Linked DNA regions of Arabidopsis thaliana. The protein of the gene in region 1 interacts with the protein of each later gene in a pairwise test. Each region holds a gene or a part of one and is shown on either strand. Other genes may lie near its edges.

Evidence for each region. The genes of interacting proteins can lie anywhere in the genome.
Region 2: the proteins of AT4G31060 (region 1) and AT1G01350 interact in a two-hybrid assay, tested with the Arabidopsis thaliana proteins (one large-scale study listed by BioGRID).
Region 3: the proteins of AT4G31060 (region 1) and AGL104 interact in a two-hybrid assay, tested with the Arabidopsis thaliana proteins (one large-scale study listed by BioGRID).

What each region holds. Positions count from the first base shown.
Region 1 is NC_003075.7:15,113,411-15,118,665, reverse strand, and holds AT4G31060 (Integrase-type DNA-binding superfamily protein), read right to left. Parts: upstream 2,519-5,255; 5' UTR 2,478-2,518; intron 2,334-2,477; 5' UTR 2,105-2,333; intron 2,012-2,104; 5' UTR 1,771-2,011; coding exon 1,207-1,770; 3' UTR 910-1,206; downstream 1-909. Other genes in the region: AT4G31073 (uncharacterized protein), read left to right, coding at 104-182, 494-633; AT4G31050 (Biotin/lipoate A/B protein ligase family), read right to left, coding at 3,223-3,512, 3,604-3,754, 3,841-4,105, 4,191-4,321; AT4G31040 (CemA-like proton extrusion protein-like protein), read left to right, coding at 4,785-5,255.
Region 2 is NC_003070.9:133,583-139,287, forward strand, and holds AT1G01350 (Zinc finger (CCCH-type/C3HC4-type RING finger) family protein), read left to right. Parts: upstream 1-2,507; 5' UTR 2,508-2,652; intron 2,653-3,084; 5' UTR 3,085-3,149; coding exon 3,150-3,234; intron 3,235-3,352; coding exon 3,353-4,176; intron 4,177-4,265; coding exon 4,266-4,388; 3' UTR 4,389-4,580; downstream 4,581-5,705. Other genes in the region: CNGC10 (cyclic nucleotide gated channel 10), read right to left, coding at 59-170, 329-624, 707-919, 1,000-1,522, 1,606-1,634; AT1G01355 (Putative endonuclease or glycosyl hydrolase), read left to right, coding at 4,931-4,959, 5,015-5,196, 5,281-5,532, 5,621-5,705.
Region 3 is NC_003070.9:7,811,086-7,817,047, forward strand, and holds AGL104 (AGAMOUS-like 104), read right to left. Parts: upstream 3,261-5,962; 5' UTR 3,175-3,260; coding exon 2,990-3,174; intron 2,891-2,989; coding exon 2,837-2,890; intron 2,745-2,836; coding exon 2,712-2,744; intron 2,614-2,711; coding exon 2,595-2,613; intron 2,512-2,594; coding exon 2,450-2,511; intron 2,315-2,449; coding exon 2,287-2,314; intron 2,208-2,286; coding exon 2,146-2,207; intron 2,059-2,145; coding exon 1,798-2,058; intron 1,679-1,797; coding exon 1,513-1,678; intron 1,440-1,512; coding exon 1,302-1,439; 3' UTR 1,126-1,301; downstream 1-1,125. Other genes in the region: AT1G22140 (zinc finger CCCH domain protein), read right to left, coding at 4,073-4,207, 4,409-4,492. UniProt on the Arabidopsis thaliana protein: Probable transcription factor that forms heterodimers with the MADS-box proteins AGL30 and AGL65 and is involved in the regulation of pollen maturation at the late stages of pollen development and pollen tube growth.

The sequences.
Region 1 (5,255 bases):
CATTTCAAAAGCAGCATCACTGATGCAGAATGTTCCAACAACTCAAGTAAGGAATAGTTCGTAAATATTTGCTGAACTTGATTTAGAAGATTGTTAATTTTACATGGCCACAGATTCTAATCCATGCTTTTTGTTATTGCTTGGACCTATCTCTGAGGGATGCCAGTGTGATCATTTCACGAGTATATGATGTGCTCTGCTTTGCTACGGATCCATTTCTCAAACTGATCTGAGCCTTTTCTAAGTGATGTTTTGTTGATGTGCTACTACGCTAAATATGGATCTGAAAGAGATACCATAAGTGAAGCCTGCAATTTCTGAAGCCTGAAGGTAATGTAATGTATTTTTGTGGTTTCATCAGAACCTTGAGCTCATCAGTGCTGTTTATCTCTTTCTTTCAGGAGGATATTAGCATAAACTACCATGCAGTATCTTTCTTACTGATATATTCACTATCAATATAAGTGATTATGGGATTTGAGCAACTTATTAGAGAGAAAACCAAAATCACTGCAAAACTGGAATCCAAACAGCTCACAGAGGCTTGGTGTTGAGGCTTTGCCAACGGAACTGATATACTGGATGTTCAAGAACCGACACCCAGAAGTAGCAATTTGGTTGATCAAAGCATGATGGAGGAAGAAGAGAAAGCTGAAGAAGATGTTGATGTGAATATGGAAGAAGCAGAGAATGATGTCATTGTGTTGGATTGATTGAGGAAACTCAAAACACCAAGAACAGAAACCAAAATATAGGTGATAGTTTTGATGTAGTAGATATCATAGAATTTCATTTCAAACATGGGATAGATAGAAGTATATGTATTTGAGACCATAAGAAGACAACCCTTGTAGCCTAGCACAAGTATATGCTGGCATAATGTTGTATTATATCCACAAGTTGATTATAAGTCCTAGTATGGTTTATGTAGAAGTAGAAGTATAGAAAAAGAGGCAGATCATGTGTGAACGATATAGGAAAAAATGCATCAAACATGCAACAAAGATTTAGGTGTGAACGCCAACTCCTAATCATTTCATTCATATCCAACATCTCATAAGGAAGAACACATGCAAAACAGAAACAACAAACTGCATGCTAAATAAAACAAGTTCAAAGACAAGGATCCAAGTATACCCTTACAAGAAGCAGACAGGTAACTGATAGTTAAACCATATTAAATGTCACTGCAAGTGACGTTACACATCAGATTAGATTGTTTATCCAATCAATGTCCATCATGAGGAAACTGTCCAGTTGTAAGTCTTCAACTGAGAATATTGATTCTGCAGTTGCATCGGTTGGGAGATAATATTCATCGACCATCTCTGTAATCTCAGTAGAAGCAGAAACATCAGAGGAAGCAGGAACTTCAGAGGGAACCTGGGTTGTTGCCGGGAGTGTGGTGGCATGGGAAGGTACATGCACAACTGATGAAGCATAGTTTGTTGCTATTGTCTGTATGTCGAGCTTGGACAGAGGCCGGACAGAACCTTCTGGAAGCTGCGGCTTTTTATCAGTGGGAAAATTGTAAACTCCCTTCTCACCCCTAATACAGAACAAAGCAGCATCATAGGCTCTAGCTGCCTTCTCTGGAGCATCGTATGAACCTAGCCATATTCGTCGTCCAGTCTTTGGAACTCTGATTTCAGACACCCATTTGCCCCAAGACCTCTTTCGGACACCCCTATAGCATTTAAATTTGCGATCTTCATGAGCTCCTTTGAGTGAAGAGCTAATAAAAGGAGATTTAGGAGGAGAGGGTGGCATTATATCCTAACAGAAGCAAAATTTTCAGAGTAGTGTTTTACAGTTTTATGCACAAGTACAGGGACTGTGGAAACTGAAAAGTAAGGGTATTGAAAGCAGAAAGAACTTTTGTGTTGAACTATGGAGCAAGTGGTGATGAAATGGAGAGGCACGCGATGTTTACCAACAGCACGTGGCAATGTAGAAACTGCGATTGTGCCAGCGTAGTAGAGTCCTCGAGAGTTGCATCCGCGGGGATCGACTAATAAGGTAAAAGCCAATTTATTTGTCAAGCATACGTTTCTTAAAGGAGAGGCACCGCAAAAAGAAAGTAAAAAGGAGAGGAAGAACTTACGATTTATTTAAAGTCAGATGACCGTTTTTTCCCCCAAGTTGAGACACGCGTACGAACCACCGCAGTTTCTGAAGATACCATTCGATCAATCCAAAGCTAGCAAAAGTTCTAATCTTGTTGTCCATATGTTAACCAGAAAAGCAAAGCATTAAGTTTGATCGACATCACTTGCTGGAAACATTTGGAACCGGAGCTTCTTGTCGTATTCCTGTAATCCGAGGAACCAAGCCTAACAACATTGAAATGGAAAGAATGAATCAAACTGGAGAAAAGGGAAAGAGGGGAAAGAAAGGTAAAATGGTCTGCAGATCTTCTGATATCAGAAACATTAACTAGGATCATATATTCTCAGTTACATAATTATATACTTAACTGCACAATGCACTAGAAGTCTAGAACATAATCTTGTACTACAGTTGTAGAATCTTCTATTATCACCTAGATGAACTGCAAAGGGATCATTTGATGATCGTCATACTTAGCACATGAATCTCCATCAGCAAACTGGTTAAATGTGGAAACTGCAAAGAGACAGGTACTCATCTAAGTAAATATCAGGTAGTTATGGAAATTTCTCTACAGAGCAAACGCATTTAATACAAAACATCCAGATTTGAACTCATCAGACTACTGTAATTGCTACCTTTCTCTCTTTAACGCAATGGCTTGGCCTTCAATTACAGCAAATGACTAAATGCAGCACGCACAAGAATATGCTTATTGGAAAATTTCGTATACAAACTGATTGGTATGCCTCTTCTAGGTGCTCGAAGAACGGAATCCTGTGAGTTACTATTTGGTTTCCCAGCTACTACGACTCTTCACTACCAAAGAGGCCCAAAAGTGGGAAGAATGTATTCAGAAACTAACAATGTCTTAAACCCTTCTTCCAAAACCCTTAAGTCACAAATCTTTACAGAACAAAAGAGAAGTAAATAGACCAATCTCATATAAACATCAACAAGAAGCAGACAATGTCACAAAACATCCAATAAAACCTTCTATGTAGATAAGATCATTATGTTCAAAACTTAACAAGAATGCTATAGAGATTGCAAGGATTTTGTTCTACCAATACCACCTTCCTTTTAGCACTCCAATCGTTTAAAAGACTCAGCTTACAGAATATTAGGATCTGAAACTGTTTGCTTTTCGATCTGAAGCTGGAAAGCTTCAGAGAATTCCTTTAGTAAAGACTCGTGAACTATATCGATCAACCTCAAATCATCAACCATTCCGTGTTCTCCATCTTCAAGCAAGCCCTTTATGTTTCCAACTTTCCGGTCTCTAATCCCACATGGAACTATCCAGTTGAATGGTGTTAGATCTGTAGTGACATTAAGAGCTAAACCATGATATGTTATCCATTTCGACACACGAATACCTATCGCCGCCACTTTTTGGTTGCCTATATATACCATTTGCAAACAAAAAGAAATCAATCTCGGAATATATATTAGATCACTTACAAAATCATCCATTTGAAATATGAGACATACCAACCCAAACTCCAGTTAAACCGTCAAGACGAGAAGCTTTAATGGAGAAAGTTGAGGAAAGCACACGGATGACAATCTCTTCAAGCATCCTGAGGTACCAATGAAGATCCATCTCGTGATTTCGAAGATTGATTATAGGATACATAACTAGCTACATTTTCAAACATTCCTATAATCAGCTTGAAGAGCTCATTAGAAAACACACAGAAACTTCCAATGCATTGTTGACATTATTACCTGACCAGGGCCATGGTAAGTGACTTCGCCACCACGTTCAGTTCGATAAACATTGAAAGGAGCATCCTTTATATCGAAATTGAGATAATCCTCTGTACTAGCAGTTCCCATTGTGTAAACAGGAGAGTGTTGTAACAAAATCACTGTATCAGCGCAGTCTTGGTTTCTATCAATCAATGTCTTTTTCTCCTCGACAATGCTCTTCTGCCATGACCAAGCTTTCTTGTATGGAACCAATTTGTCGTAAAGATCAAAACACAGGCACCTGCAAAATTGATAGTGATTGCACGGAAGGTGTTCGTTAAAATGCCTCAAACAGAAAATAGAGAGCACAAAAAAGGAAACTTTACTTTCTGGGGATTTCATGATTCCCGGAGTTTAAGATCTTGACAGATCTAACTAATCTGTTTCTCTTCGCGTTAGTACGATGGTGATGATGAATTCCCGAAACTAGAGTTTCTACTCCATTCAGCAACTCCATAACTCTGTACTAAAGAAGAAAGTGGAATTTACTTAAAATTTATTTCTGTAAATATACAGTCATTCAATTTTTAGCCAATCAAAAACGACGGAAACAACAATTTTGACTCTACAAAATAATATGTAAATGTAATTAATTATTTGAAACCAAAAAAGCAATCTTTATGGATAACAGATATTTTACAAGCTTAATTTGAAGAAGAAGATAACAAAACAAAAAAAAGAGCGTGGCTTTATCTATCATCTGGTATCCACTATCCACAACTGGGGTCAGCTTCTGGTTCTCTCTCTCGGTAACTTTCTGAGCTGAAGAACCCTAATTCTTATCTTCACCGGATTCCGGGTATAGGGCTTTGTAAAGTTGTTGAATTTACAAAGAAAGATATGCTGGTTTGTCTGGGTTTTGTAGAAGAATCTGTGTTGTTGCTTTGAGATTAAAGTCCGAACAATGTTGGGTTTGATTCATGTCCTTGATGAGCTCGTCAATGGTCTTATGCCACTGCTTATCATTCAGTAGTCAAAACCCAGATCCTGAATCATCATCATCTTCTCTTCTTCGTTATAAGCCTTGTGATTCGATTTCGTTGTGGGGTAAGAGAAGGAAGAAGCTTTGGAGATTTGTTCCCAGTGCGGAGAAGAATAACAGTCATACGGGTAATAATAATAAGAGGAGAAGAAGCTGGTGGCAGAGGTTTTTCTTTGATGATGATGGGAATTGGCTTGGTTTGAGAGACGACGACATTGTTGATGAGACTACTGAGCTTGCAAAGGATGATGAGATGTCTGATGAAGAGAAATTCGAGACTTGGAAGAGACGAGCAGAGGCGATTGTCGAGCTACGGGAAGGTCAGGAGGAGATTGGGGATAGTGGTGTTGTTGCTGATGTGACCAAGAAATGGGAGGATTGGATTGTGGATTCAGATGATAGTTTTGTT
Region 2 (5,705 bases), on another chromosome or scaffold:
ATATGTAGCATTATGGAACAAGTCCAGAAAATGAGAAGCGATTATTTGAGGCTAATACCTGCATATTGCCGATAAGTAGAGCAAATAAGACTAGTCCAGATATGCAGATTGATATAGCAAATATGATTTCACCAACGAATTTGCTAGTTTGGAGATTCTGTCCCAATGCACTGCAACAACAAAAGCAACTTGTGAGAATGATGACTTGTTTAAATTGTGACAGATATATATGCTTAAGATGCAAATATAAACAGGTCATTTCACGGCTTAAAATCTCCAAATATAGCTAGTTAGTTATTGTCAACAGTTTTATGTGTGTCTTACAAACCTCAGATTTCGAAGACCCCACCAGAAGCAGTAGAAGAATTTCTTCCAGAAATCATGTGATTCAACAACGCCACTCTTAAGAGCATCAGTGAAGATGCCAAAGTTGAAGATGGTTGAGTTTGTTATATCACCAGGGTCGAGAAATGGGCAAGAAGTGGTCAGGAAATTGTTGCTAACGTTACGATCGTTTTCACAGTAGAGGAATTTCATATTACAACCTTTTGTCTTCTCGCATGCCTCTTGCCAGCATCTGTCTTCTCGTTCTACTGAGATTAAGTACCATAAAGCTCCAAACACCTGAATAAGTAAGTTTAACATATAACCTTTAATATGCATTTACATGTATAAAGATTCAGTCATCAAAAGATCCGAAACTCACATGACTGGCTAACATATAGAGAGAGAGGTTCCAAGCAGCTCCAGCCCATGCTGTTTCAGTAACAATGCCAGATGTTCTTGTCACTTCAGTGTAAAGCGGATACATACGGAGAATCCGAGGAACATATTGAGCAATTATGGAAAATTTAAGGTAGTCTTTTGTTAGCAAAGAGACTGGCTGGTTGACGCTTGGAATAACGGCTAAAACTACTATCTGCAAAAGTTAAGAAGCCAGAGGATTCAAAAAGAAATGATCATTGACATTTTGAACAAGTAATCAAACTAGTCATTTACCTGTGGGAGAGGAAGGATAGAGAGTAGATCAATGATGAAGTAAGAAGAGAGATACTTTAAGGCTATTGCCTTAGCATCATCTACCAGTTCACCTCTTCCAAAAACCCGCGAAGAAGGAGCGATGTAAGCTGTCCTGAACTGAAACACAATGTGAATAATGTAAAAGGCATCGATGAGCGTACGAAGCAAACTCGCAGCTATCTCCAACTTTGAGTCCAAAGTAAGACAGTGCCTTGCGCTATCGACAATGGGAATGTAGAAAAACAATGGATCAATCGCCAAAGCAACCACACAAGCAAATAAAAATATTTTGTTCCAGTTCTGGAGAAACGAATCCTGCGGGTTTATGATGTTCTTCCGAGTAACACTAGATGTTTCCTTGTGGTCAGGATCCTTATGTGAAGGGAAACTCAATGGCTTCTTGAATCCCCATTTTACATTCTTGAAAACTCTATCTAAAGAAGGTCTAGCTTTTCTTCCATAACCATATTCAGAGGATAATGGTTTGCCTTCATCTTTGAACCTAAACAAAATCATAAGAAAATGAGATAGTAGAAAAAATCATTCAACTATGAACTGTTTTCAAGATTTTCTGTAACTACCAACCTTACACGATTATCATGGCTAAATGCCATCAGCCAAACCCTTGTATATTTCAACTGATCTTTCGCTTACAGGGTGACGAGTCCTAACATTATAATAAGAACCAAAACTTAAGACATACGAATTCTTCTACATGATTACGTACAATGATAATCCCCAATACCAATTAAAAATAAGCAAGTAGACACCTAACTACAAATACAATTGTGTTGTGTGTATGTGTTTTTAAATATTTCTTTCTTGAAAAGGTTAATTAGAGAACCTAGAATCAGTCAATTTCCACCTAACATTAGATTATACCAAATCCTGTAATTCCTACCCATTCCTGCTCAATAAATGGAAACCACACGAACAACTTAAAAACACTGTTCATCAAAGATAAGAAATCCAAATTTCAAAAAACCATTGACCATAAACGAAAGACATATATCTAAGCGTTTCGGTTCTGAGAAACAGCAAAATAAATTCAGACGAAAAAGAACAAAAACGGAAATCGGAATCAAAATTCTATCATCAAACTAACCTGAAACGAAGTAGGTAACGGCGAGATAGTAAGATTCGGCTAATAAACGGAAGTCGGTGAACGGCGTTTTCTTCAATTCAAGCAACTGGTCCCGTCGTCGCTGGAAAGAGAGAGAGACTCATATGGCGGTTACTTGTATCTCTCTCTGTATATTGTTTCCTGGAAAAGTAGTATATGAGAATTTTATTATACGACAAAAAGGGAGGGAAAGAGGAATATTATGCAATTAAATATTATAAAGTCTGTTCAATTGAAAATCATTTCATAAAACAATTTCATTCAGATGAATGACTTGGTCAAAGTCAGACGGCGAGAATAAGCAAGTTGCCAAATTTTAAGTACCGGGCCCATTATGAATATTGAGCCCATTTAGATTCATGACCCAAAATGAAGTAACCGCCCCACCATATGTTCCTTATTTCTTTTCTCTTCACACTGATTTATTTTCTGTCGGAAAATACGGACGGCGTCGTCGTTCTTTTTGACGGTGTAGCTCACCGGCGTCGATTTTTAGATTTTTTTTTAAGGTAACATATTCTTCCTTGTGTTTAATCTCCATACTTTTGATCTACTTTTCGTTCTTGTTTAGTCTTTAGTGTTGTTCGAGCTTTTGTCTCCAATTTCAATCAATTCAAAGGGTTTTTAGATTCCAAATTTTGTAGCTTCCGTTGACACATCGAGTTGTCGAACTGTGTTTCGGATTGATCTGTCTGGAGCTTCTATTTCTGCTTCCTTATCTACTGTGAATGAAATTGCCACCGATATAGATAGTTAGCTAGGGTTTATTCGTGAGCTCGCGTAGATGAATTAGGAAGAATTCAGGTGATCATTTTTATGTTGCATTGTCTATTATTGTAACTGAATCTGGAGAAATTTTGATAAAATTGTTGTTTGACTCAGTGCAAACAAATTTACAAGTTTTCAGGAAATTGACTTAATACTAATCTTGAATTTTGCAGGGAAACACTAAGCAGCAAATTACAAGTGGGTGATTTGTGTTTGTTACATAGTCTTATATCTAACTATGTCAGATTCTGGTGAGCCTAAACCTTCTCAGCAAGAAGAACCTCTACCTCAACCTGCTGCCCAAGAAACTCAGTCTCAACAAGGTTACATATACTTCCTTCTATCTCAATTCTAGTTGTCGTCTCATTGAGATTTTTTCTTGTTCTTCGTTGTTAGCTAGAAATTTTCATTTACACTAATCAAATCATTCTTCTGTTTCAGTTTGCACTTTCTTCAAGAAGCCAACGAAAAGTAAAAACATAAGAAAAAGAACCATTGACGCTGATGAAGAAGACGGAGATTCGAAAAGCGAAAGCTCTATTCTACAAAATCTAAAGAAAGTTGCAAAACCCGATAGCAAGTTATACTTTTCTTCTGGACCATCTAAGAGTTCTACTACAACGAGTGGAGCTCCTGAGAGGTCCGTCTTTCACTACGATTCATCCAAGGAAATCCAGGTTCAGAACGACAGTGGAGCAACAGCAACCCTTGAAACTGAGACCGACTTCAATCAAGACGCACGAGCTATCCGTGAGAGAGTTCTTAAAAAAGCAGACGAAGCATTGAAAGGGAATAAGAAAAAGGCTTCTGATGAGAAGCTGTACAAAGGAATTCATGGATATACAGATCACAAAGCTGGGTTTAGAAGAGAACAAACAATCTCGAGCGAGAAAGCTGGAGGCTCACACGGGCCATTAAGAGCTTCTGCTCACATAAGAGTGTCGGCTAGATTCGATTACCAGCCAGACATTTGCAAGGATTACAAAGAAACCGGATACTGTGGATATGGAGATTCGTGTAAGTTCTTGCATGACCGTGGGGATTACAAACCAGGATGGCAGATAGAGAAAGAGTGGGAAGAAGCAGAGAAAGTTAGGAAGAGAAATAAAGCTATGGGAGTTGAGGATGAAGATGATGAGGCTGACAAGGATAGCGACGAAGACGAAAATGCATTGCCCTTTGCTTGCTTCATTTGCAGGGAGCCTTTTGTTGATCCAGTTGTCACCAAATGCAAGCATTACTTCTGTGAGCATTGTGCTTTAAAGGTATGATCATCACAATTACGAGTCTGTTTTTTTTTTAGTTGTGAAGAAATGTGTGAAACTAGCGAGTTTTGTTTAATGTAATGATGCAGCATCACACGAAGAACAAGAAGTGCTTTGTGTGTAACCAACCAACAATGGGGATTTTCAATGCAGCACATGAGATCAAGAAGAGAATGGCTGAAGAACGGAGTAAAGCTGAACAAGGATTGTGAAGTCCTTGTTTCACTGGACAAAAAGGCAAAAACTATATTTGGTTATTTACTTGAGGAAAGCTTTTTGTTTTGTTGTACTCACTGGCCTATATATATTCATTCGGATGACGACGATAGTTGTTTCAAACTGATTAACTTTTAAATTTAAACAAACTGAAAATTGAATCAGAGTTTTGGAGTCAACTTCCTAGTAAATCATCGTCAGAATAATAGTCGTCAAACTCGATATCCTGATTCACATATTTTGATATAGAAATTTGCTTCCCAAATTGAAAACGCGGTCGTTTAATAAACAGGCCAAAAGTAAAGTTCCTTACCAAACTTTTTAATCTAATGGGCCCGTGCGCTAAGATACAGTTAATGGGCAACGCGAATCGGCCCATAAATAAACCACACCACAAGTAGCGGTAACAAGGTAGTTCTATGGGGTAGAAAACGCATCTGAACAGGTAATTATTTGTCCTACAAGGTTCGATCGAATGTTCTCATCTCTTTTTTTCTCTCTGGCTTTCCGATCTTCTAGATTTTCCAAGTCTTGAATGATGAGGAAGGCGAAGGCTGTGGCCTGTGGGTGAGGTCGTGCCAAAGTCTAAGGCTGTAACACGCGTCTGGTGGGACATCAACAGGTGTCCGGTTCCGGCTGACGTTGATGTTCGCAGGGTCGGTCCGTGTATAAAACGGGCTTTGGAGAAATTAGGCTACTCTGGTCCTCTCACCATCACTGCCGTTGGGATACTAACAGACGTCCCTCATGACTTCCTCAGACAAGTCCATTCCTCTGGAATCGCTCTTCATCACGTTCCCACCGGTTTATATCTTCTCATCCTTCATTTTCTAAAATTAGGGTTTTGCTTCTATTTGCCCTTTTTGTTTTTGTTTTTAAGTCTTATAGTTTCCGAAACAGCTCTCTCAGGGATTGGGTGGGCTGTGGTTAAGTGGACCTGGTATAATCAACCTCCGGCTAATTTAATGCTCATATCGTACGAGCATATCTACTTGACCACTCTTGACATGCTAGGTAGGATCGGATACAACACTGTTCGGTCTATTCTTCCAGATGATCCTCAACAAGCCGCATCCTCCGCCTCCCCTTCTACAGGGTCTTTCCTCTGGGAAAGCTTACTGGCAAGCTTACCAGCAGCAGGTCCTTGTCCTCTCTCTCTCTCTCTCACACTCAGTACAGTGTTGAAATAGTTAAGCTGTGTCTGACCTAGTTATCTCCACGGACGCAGATGATATGGATTCAGGGGCACCTCAGGAGGACAAGTGCGGCGAGATGGGTGAACCTGCCTTGCTTTGTGAGCAATGCAGATTTAC
Region 3 (5,962 bases), on another chromosome or scaffold:
ATTAACGATTTTATAAAATATTGTGCAAAATTTTATAATTTTGGTAACCCAGGCAAAGATTGGTCCAAAATAAGCATTTTTCTTTGACTTTTGAAATATGGGATCTACAAAGACACAACACAGAATCTGCAAATATGGAGACCAACCAAAAATCCAAATTTGCCAGATTCTGCCAAGTCAACAACAAAATTATAGAATATTGTCGGTTTTAGAAAATTATAATGGATAGATTACAGGGGAAGGAAAAAAATCTTAAGATTATTTCTTAATAGAAAAAGACTATTAAGGAAGATAATAGACAATTAAGGAAGAAAATCTAAATCTGATGAGAAATATCTATTCAGTTTTTCTTTCTTTTTTTTTTGTCTTAACTACACAAGTGGAAACGAAATACAGTAAAACCTCTATAAATTATTATTCGATAAATTAATAAATTTTTCCGGTATAGAGTTGGGACCAATGTAAAAATTGATACAAATTGATAAATTAATAAGATAATAATTTTTTTGAAAATTTTATATAAATATATGGTCCTATCAATAGTATAAATTAATAATTGTATAAATTTACAAATATTTATTATAAATATCATATGTAAAATATGATTCTATTAATGTTTTTCTTCAATTTTATTAATTTTTTGTAGTATTCAATTCTAGTATTTTACAACATCAAAAAAAATTTGTATTATTTTTTAAACTTAATAATTGTTTTATACTTGTAATTGGTTTCATAAATACTATCGATTATAAAGAAAAAAACTACATCTTATATTGAATTATTGTAAGAATTTCCAAAATTTGTACAATTTTATTAATTTATCGATAAATAATATCTCTCTAAATTAGTAATTTTTTTTGTCTCAATATTATTAATTTAAAGAGATTTTACTGTAGCCATGTTTTTAGTATAAACTGAGAAGATAAAATTTTCCGTTACAAATTAACAACAAATTGTGTAGTAAAAGGTTATTTATGTGTCAGATTTTTCTTTTTTGTTGTCTTCTCCTGACTATAACTTCTATGGCAGTGTAATTTTGAAAAAAAAAAGAAACAGAACACATATAAGAATAACATAATGAAGATAAGATTTCTTTTTTTTTGTGAAAATTAAAGAAGATAAAACTTGATTTGCTTTTCGCCCATAAAACTATAAAATGGTGTTGCCAAAAAGAATAGTATACAAAAATAACACGACTCTTCATCGTCTTCTCATGGCAAAAAAAAGTTCACTTTTTTATGGGTTGTTGGAAAAAAATATGAATAAATTTTTAAAAATGGTATACATAAATAAATAATACATTATTGGCTACTGAGTTGAGGAACCTTTGTTTCATAGTCGGAGACTTCATGATCAACTTGTGTCTCCGCCGTCACTCCCGGAATATCACTCTGCTGAGCTGGCATCATCTCTTCTATACTGGGACCCACACCTTCATGCTGGCACATTGACCAAAAAAGTCAACATTTTTAACTTAAGTTATTAAAGACAAAAAAAAAGACCAAAAAAAACCTGTTGCTGCATAGAAGCGAATAAGGCCGAGGATGAATACGCCTGAGCCCACTCAGGGAACATTTCACCATTGTGGTTCGTCACGTGGCATTCACTCATGTTGTTTTGGTTCGAGCTTGAGCTACTTCCTTGCAACAATGGTTCATACATTGCCGATGATAATTCTCTGCCAATTTTACATTTCTTTAAAGTAAAAATTTACTGAATTTTCTTGATCAAGATTATAAAAAAATGTGAAAAGTTTACAAATCTTCTTGATCAAAGAAAAAAAAACAATTATAGTACCTGAGTTGGTTAGAATGGGCCGATGCATCAAACAAATGGGTTTGATTGGTCCCATTTTCAGGTAGCCAACCTTCAACGACGTCATTTACAAAAGGACCACCAATGTTTGGTTGCATAGTAGATGCTTCATACGAAGATAAATGGTTGCTCATGAGATGGTCTCGCCGTTGGACAACATGTGTTAGAGTGTCGAGAAGTTGCTTCTCAGAAACTTCGTATTCCTCCATGGTCGTGAATCTTATTGGATCCGGTTCGTATCTCCTGCTCATATTATATAGTAAGCAATCATGATTTGAGTTAAAAAAATTATAAACTATAACATATAACATTTATTTTTCGAGTAAAAACCTTAGTTCTTCTTCTGCCATTTGGAGTTGTTGTTGTAACCTACAAACTTCATGCTCAAGTTCCTAGATTTCCGATTTCAAGCGAGACATTTAGAAATATATCTATGTCTTCTAATTAATTGATGGAATAACGATTAATTACCTCGACGTCAGAGTTGATAGCTGCAGGGCTTTTTCAAAATAATTATATGAAAGAAAAAAAAAGTTTAGTGTATAGTTTAAATGTGTTTTGAAGGAGTGTATCTTGGTAAACATATGAAAATTATAAAATCAATTATAACGACAAACCGAAGGAATTTACGGACTTCGTGACTTGAAGAGCGATGTCATTTTCAGTCTTGAGTTGCTGCAGAATCCTTAGTAGACACTTTCACATAACAACAACATTATTCTTGACTTTAAGGAAACAACATAATGAGGAACAAACTAATCACTATGATTAGAACTAACCTCTTTGTTTTGAATATCTCTGCAAACAAACCAAAAAAGAAAAGAGAGGGTCATGAAAAATTTATTATACCCATATGATCAAGTGTAATGTAACAAAAGAAAAACTGATATACATACGGGCGTCTATTCTGGTCAGGAAAGTATAGAGCACTGAAAGAAAACAAATCAAATAACCAAAGTCAAAATTTACTAAAAATGTAGTAATTTATAAAACTTGGAAAAGAAAGTAGTTTTTAGCGTACCTCTCTCGTTCTTGTTTAGGAAGATTGATGAATCTTGAAAAAACGTCTTCAATCCTAAAGAGACAGAGAACTAAGATATGATATGGTCCAAAACCTAGAAAGCTAGCAATGGAAAATGTTAATGAAAAAGGGGTAAATTAAATGATGTAATACCGAGTTTTTCCGGAGAAAAGGCTAAGGCGATCAGAAGGAGAGAACATGATAAGAGCAATGTCGATATCACAAAGAATCGACAATTCATAAGCTTTCTTAATCAAACCATTTCTACGTTTTGAAAACGTAACTTGTCGATTCGTTGTGTTCTCTATTCTCTTGATTTCTAATTTCACCCGACCCATATTGGCGAAGCAGGAAGAGATTTTGATTCATCCAAATCGTAAGTTGATATAATAATGCTGATCAGTAATCTACAAAACTTCAATCCAAAAAATCCTTGTTTGAAAATAATTTTGTTAATATATACGGAAGGAGGATGAAGAAAACTGCTTATAATTAGGCGAGTTAATAGGAACTAAAATTAGAATTTTTGACTATATTCCTTCTCTAGCCTCGTTTCGTTGTATATCGTTTTGGAGATTTCTTAAGTTTGCTCTTCTTTTTTCATCAAAATCTTTGGATAAACGGTGATGAGATTACGAGATACTCATATGCTGTTTAAGCATCAAAGACGCTAACTTTTATGAGTTTGATAGCTAAATAGTCCTCATGATACATCATAGCGCAGAGTTTGTTGTCTTTTTCGTCGACTCTATGAACTATCTTCACTAAAAATGTCCCATTAACACAATTTCAGTTAATGTCTCGACTTTTGTTTGCCTTTGAATATATATCAAACATTGAGGGATGTAACATTCAACCACCAAATTTCCAAATAATCAGAGCCAACGATTAAGTCACAATTACTGAGGACTAAATTTCTGATTTAACACTTGAGACAAAAGTGGGAACATGAGAGTACAACAACAAAAGAGAAACAGAGTTGGATCACAAATCATCGAGGAAATGTCTTAAATCACCTGAAACACACATAAATAGACAACATCAATAGATAATGCAGTAACAGATCTCTTTAGCTAGTTTCTTGAGATGAAACAAAAAAACACAACAATGGTTTCATCAGATCACACACAATCTGCAGATCCATTGTCCCAATTCATAAACTCAGATGCAAGTAGCAGTACTAATGAGAGTCGAATGATCTCTGTTACCTATGAAGAAGTAGTGAATAGACCAGAATCAATGATGAGTATCGTCGAAAACCCAAGGCTCATGCAAGAAAAGCTCACGACCATTCATTGGAACACGACCTGAAGCTATGTCCTCTTGTCGTTTCCTTGCTGCTTCAGCTTGTTTGGCTAATAACTCAGCATCCTTACAAGTAAACAACAAACTTAGGTTAATCAATAATGATGATTCTTTTGATTAACTTTATGTAAGATTCATTACATGAAAATAAACAACGAGGGCTTCCTAAAGATTATGCGTTTGAGTAGAGATATCAAATCTAGGGTTCTTCAAATCGATATATTCACTAGGAATCAACATGTAAAGGAGAAAGAGATAGAGAGATACCTTTTGGCGTTTCCAAGCGAGGAATTGATCTTTAGAAATTGAAATCTGTGTAGGTTTTGGCGTTTCTCCATTACCGGCTCCCATCGTTCAACGTTTTTCTCTCAACGCACGAATTTCAATATTTCTCTATTTTGATCTGTTTTTCTTCATAGGTTTCGTGATAATTATTGTTTTTTAAACGACAGCGTATTGATTGTCCCATCATAAGTTTCCTTTTCCTCGTTTCGTCGTCGTTTCAATGAATAGCTAAGATTGAATCCGATGGTCGTCATTTTTTTGTTATTTTCTTAAATTTTGAGTATGAACGAATACGAAATTGAATGGAGGAGGTTTAATCTTCGTGCTTGTATTGGTCCACTATAGTTTATTAAGATTTTCGAATGATAATGATACATAACTATTATCACAATCGATGGACTCTCTTTAGGATCCTAAAATTGTCTAATCATACATTACGGTTGCTATATTGGTGTCATTTTGCCAATGTGTATGTTTTTTCGTTTCTTTCTTGGTTTTTTTCTATCATGTGAATTTTATATAAAATTATCAATGGTAGGATATTTGATAGATTACAAATATACACCGGCGTAAACACAAGATTTTCCCAAACTCTATAAAAATGAAGCAAAGTAGTACTATGAGATAGAGGAGATCGAGCGATAGGAGAGTAAACCCATAATAGTATCTCTAACCCATCTCTATTTTAGAGATAAAAATAGAGATATGTTGAAGTGAAATTAAAGTAAAAATAGAGTATTGAGATAAAAATAGAGAAAAGTTAAAAACAATTAAACCCAATAAAACTAGAATCAAACCAAACCAAACCAAACATCCTATTTCCAAGAATTATTTTGAGAGAACGAAATGAAAATGCTCTCAACCAACCATTGCTACTCAAGACCTCTACATATTACAATCTGCATTAAAACATCAAGAGAATCCTAGACTAATGAATATGTTTTTTGAGCATTTATGTTTATTTTGTCAACATCAGATTTTAATCAACAAAAAAAAGTTCAATGTCATATTTTGGTTTTTCAGTATGGCGATATATATAATCAAAAGCGTCATATAAAATTGTAATTCTCGCCCATTGCCAATACAAAACTACACAAAACGAGCATCACCTTTTACCAATTAAGTATTGAAATGCTATTATCTAAAGGCAATTAATATGAGTCCTCCAATGTAATGGTTAATCAATATATTCGCGAATTGTGCTTAGAAATGAAGCCAAATTGAAAAAAGTTTGTCAGTATTATTCGTGAACCTACCATTTTGTTGTATTAAAAAAAAGTTTTTTCAACGTCAAATTCTTTTTGTAAAGATTCTTTTTTTTGTTTTTAAATAAAGTTTACACTACAAAAAAAAATCCATATTTAAATTACATGATAATATGCGGCTACCCGTCGATTCTTATGGAGAGGCAAAAGATGGAACACATAACTGAAGTAACTCCAGCCTTCTCGCTTAGGGTTGTTTGACTTTTTATTATTGTATCTCACACCATCAACAAAATGATGACTAGTGGCATTTTCTCAAATTTCGGATCTA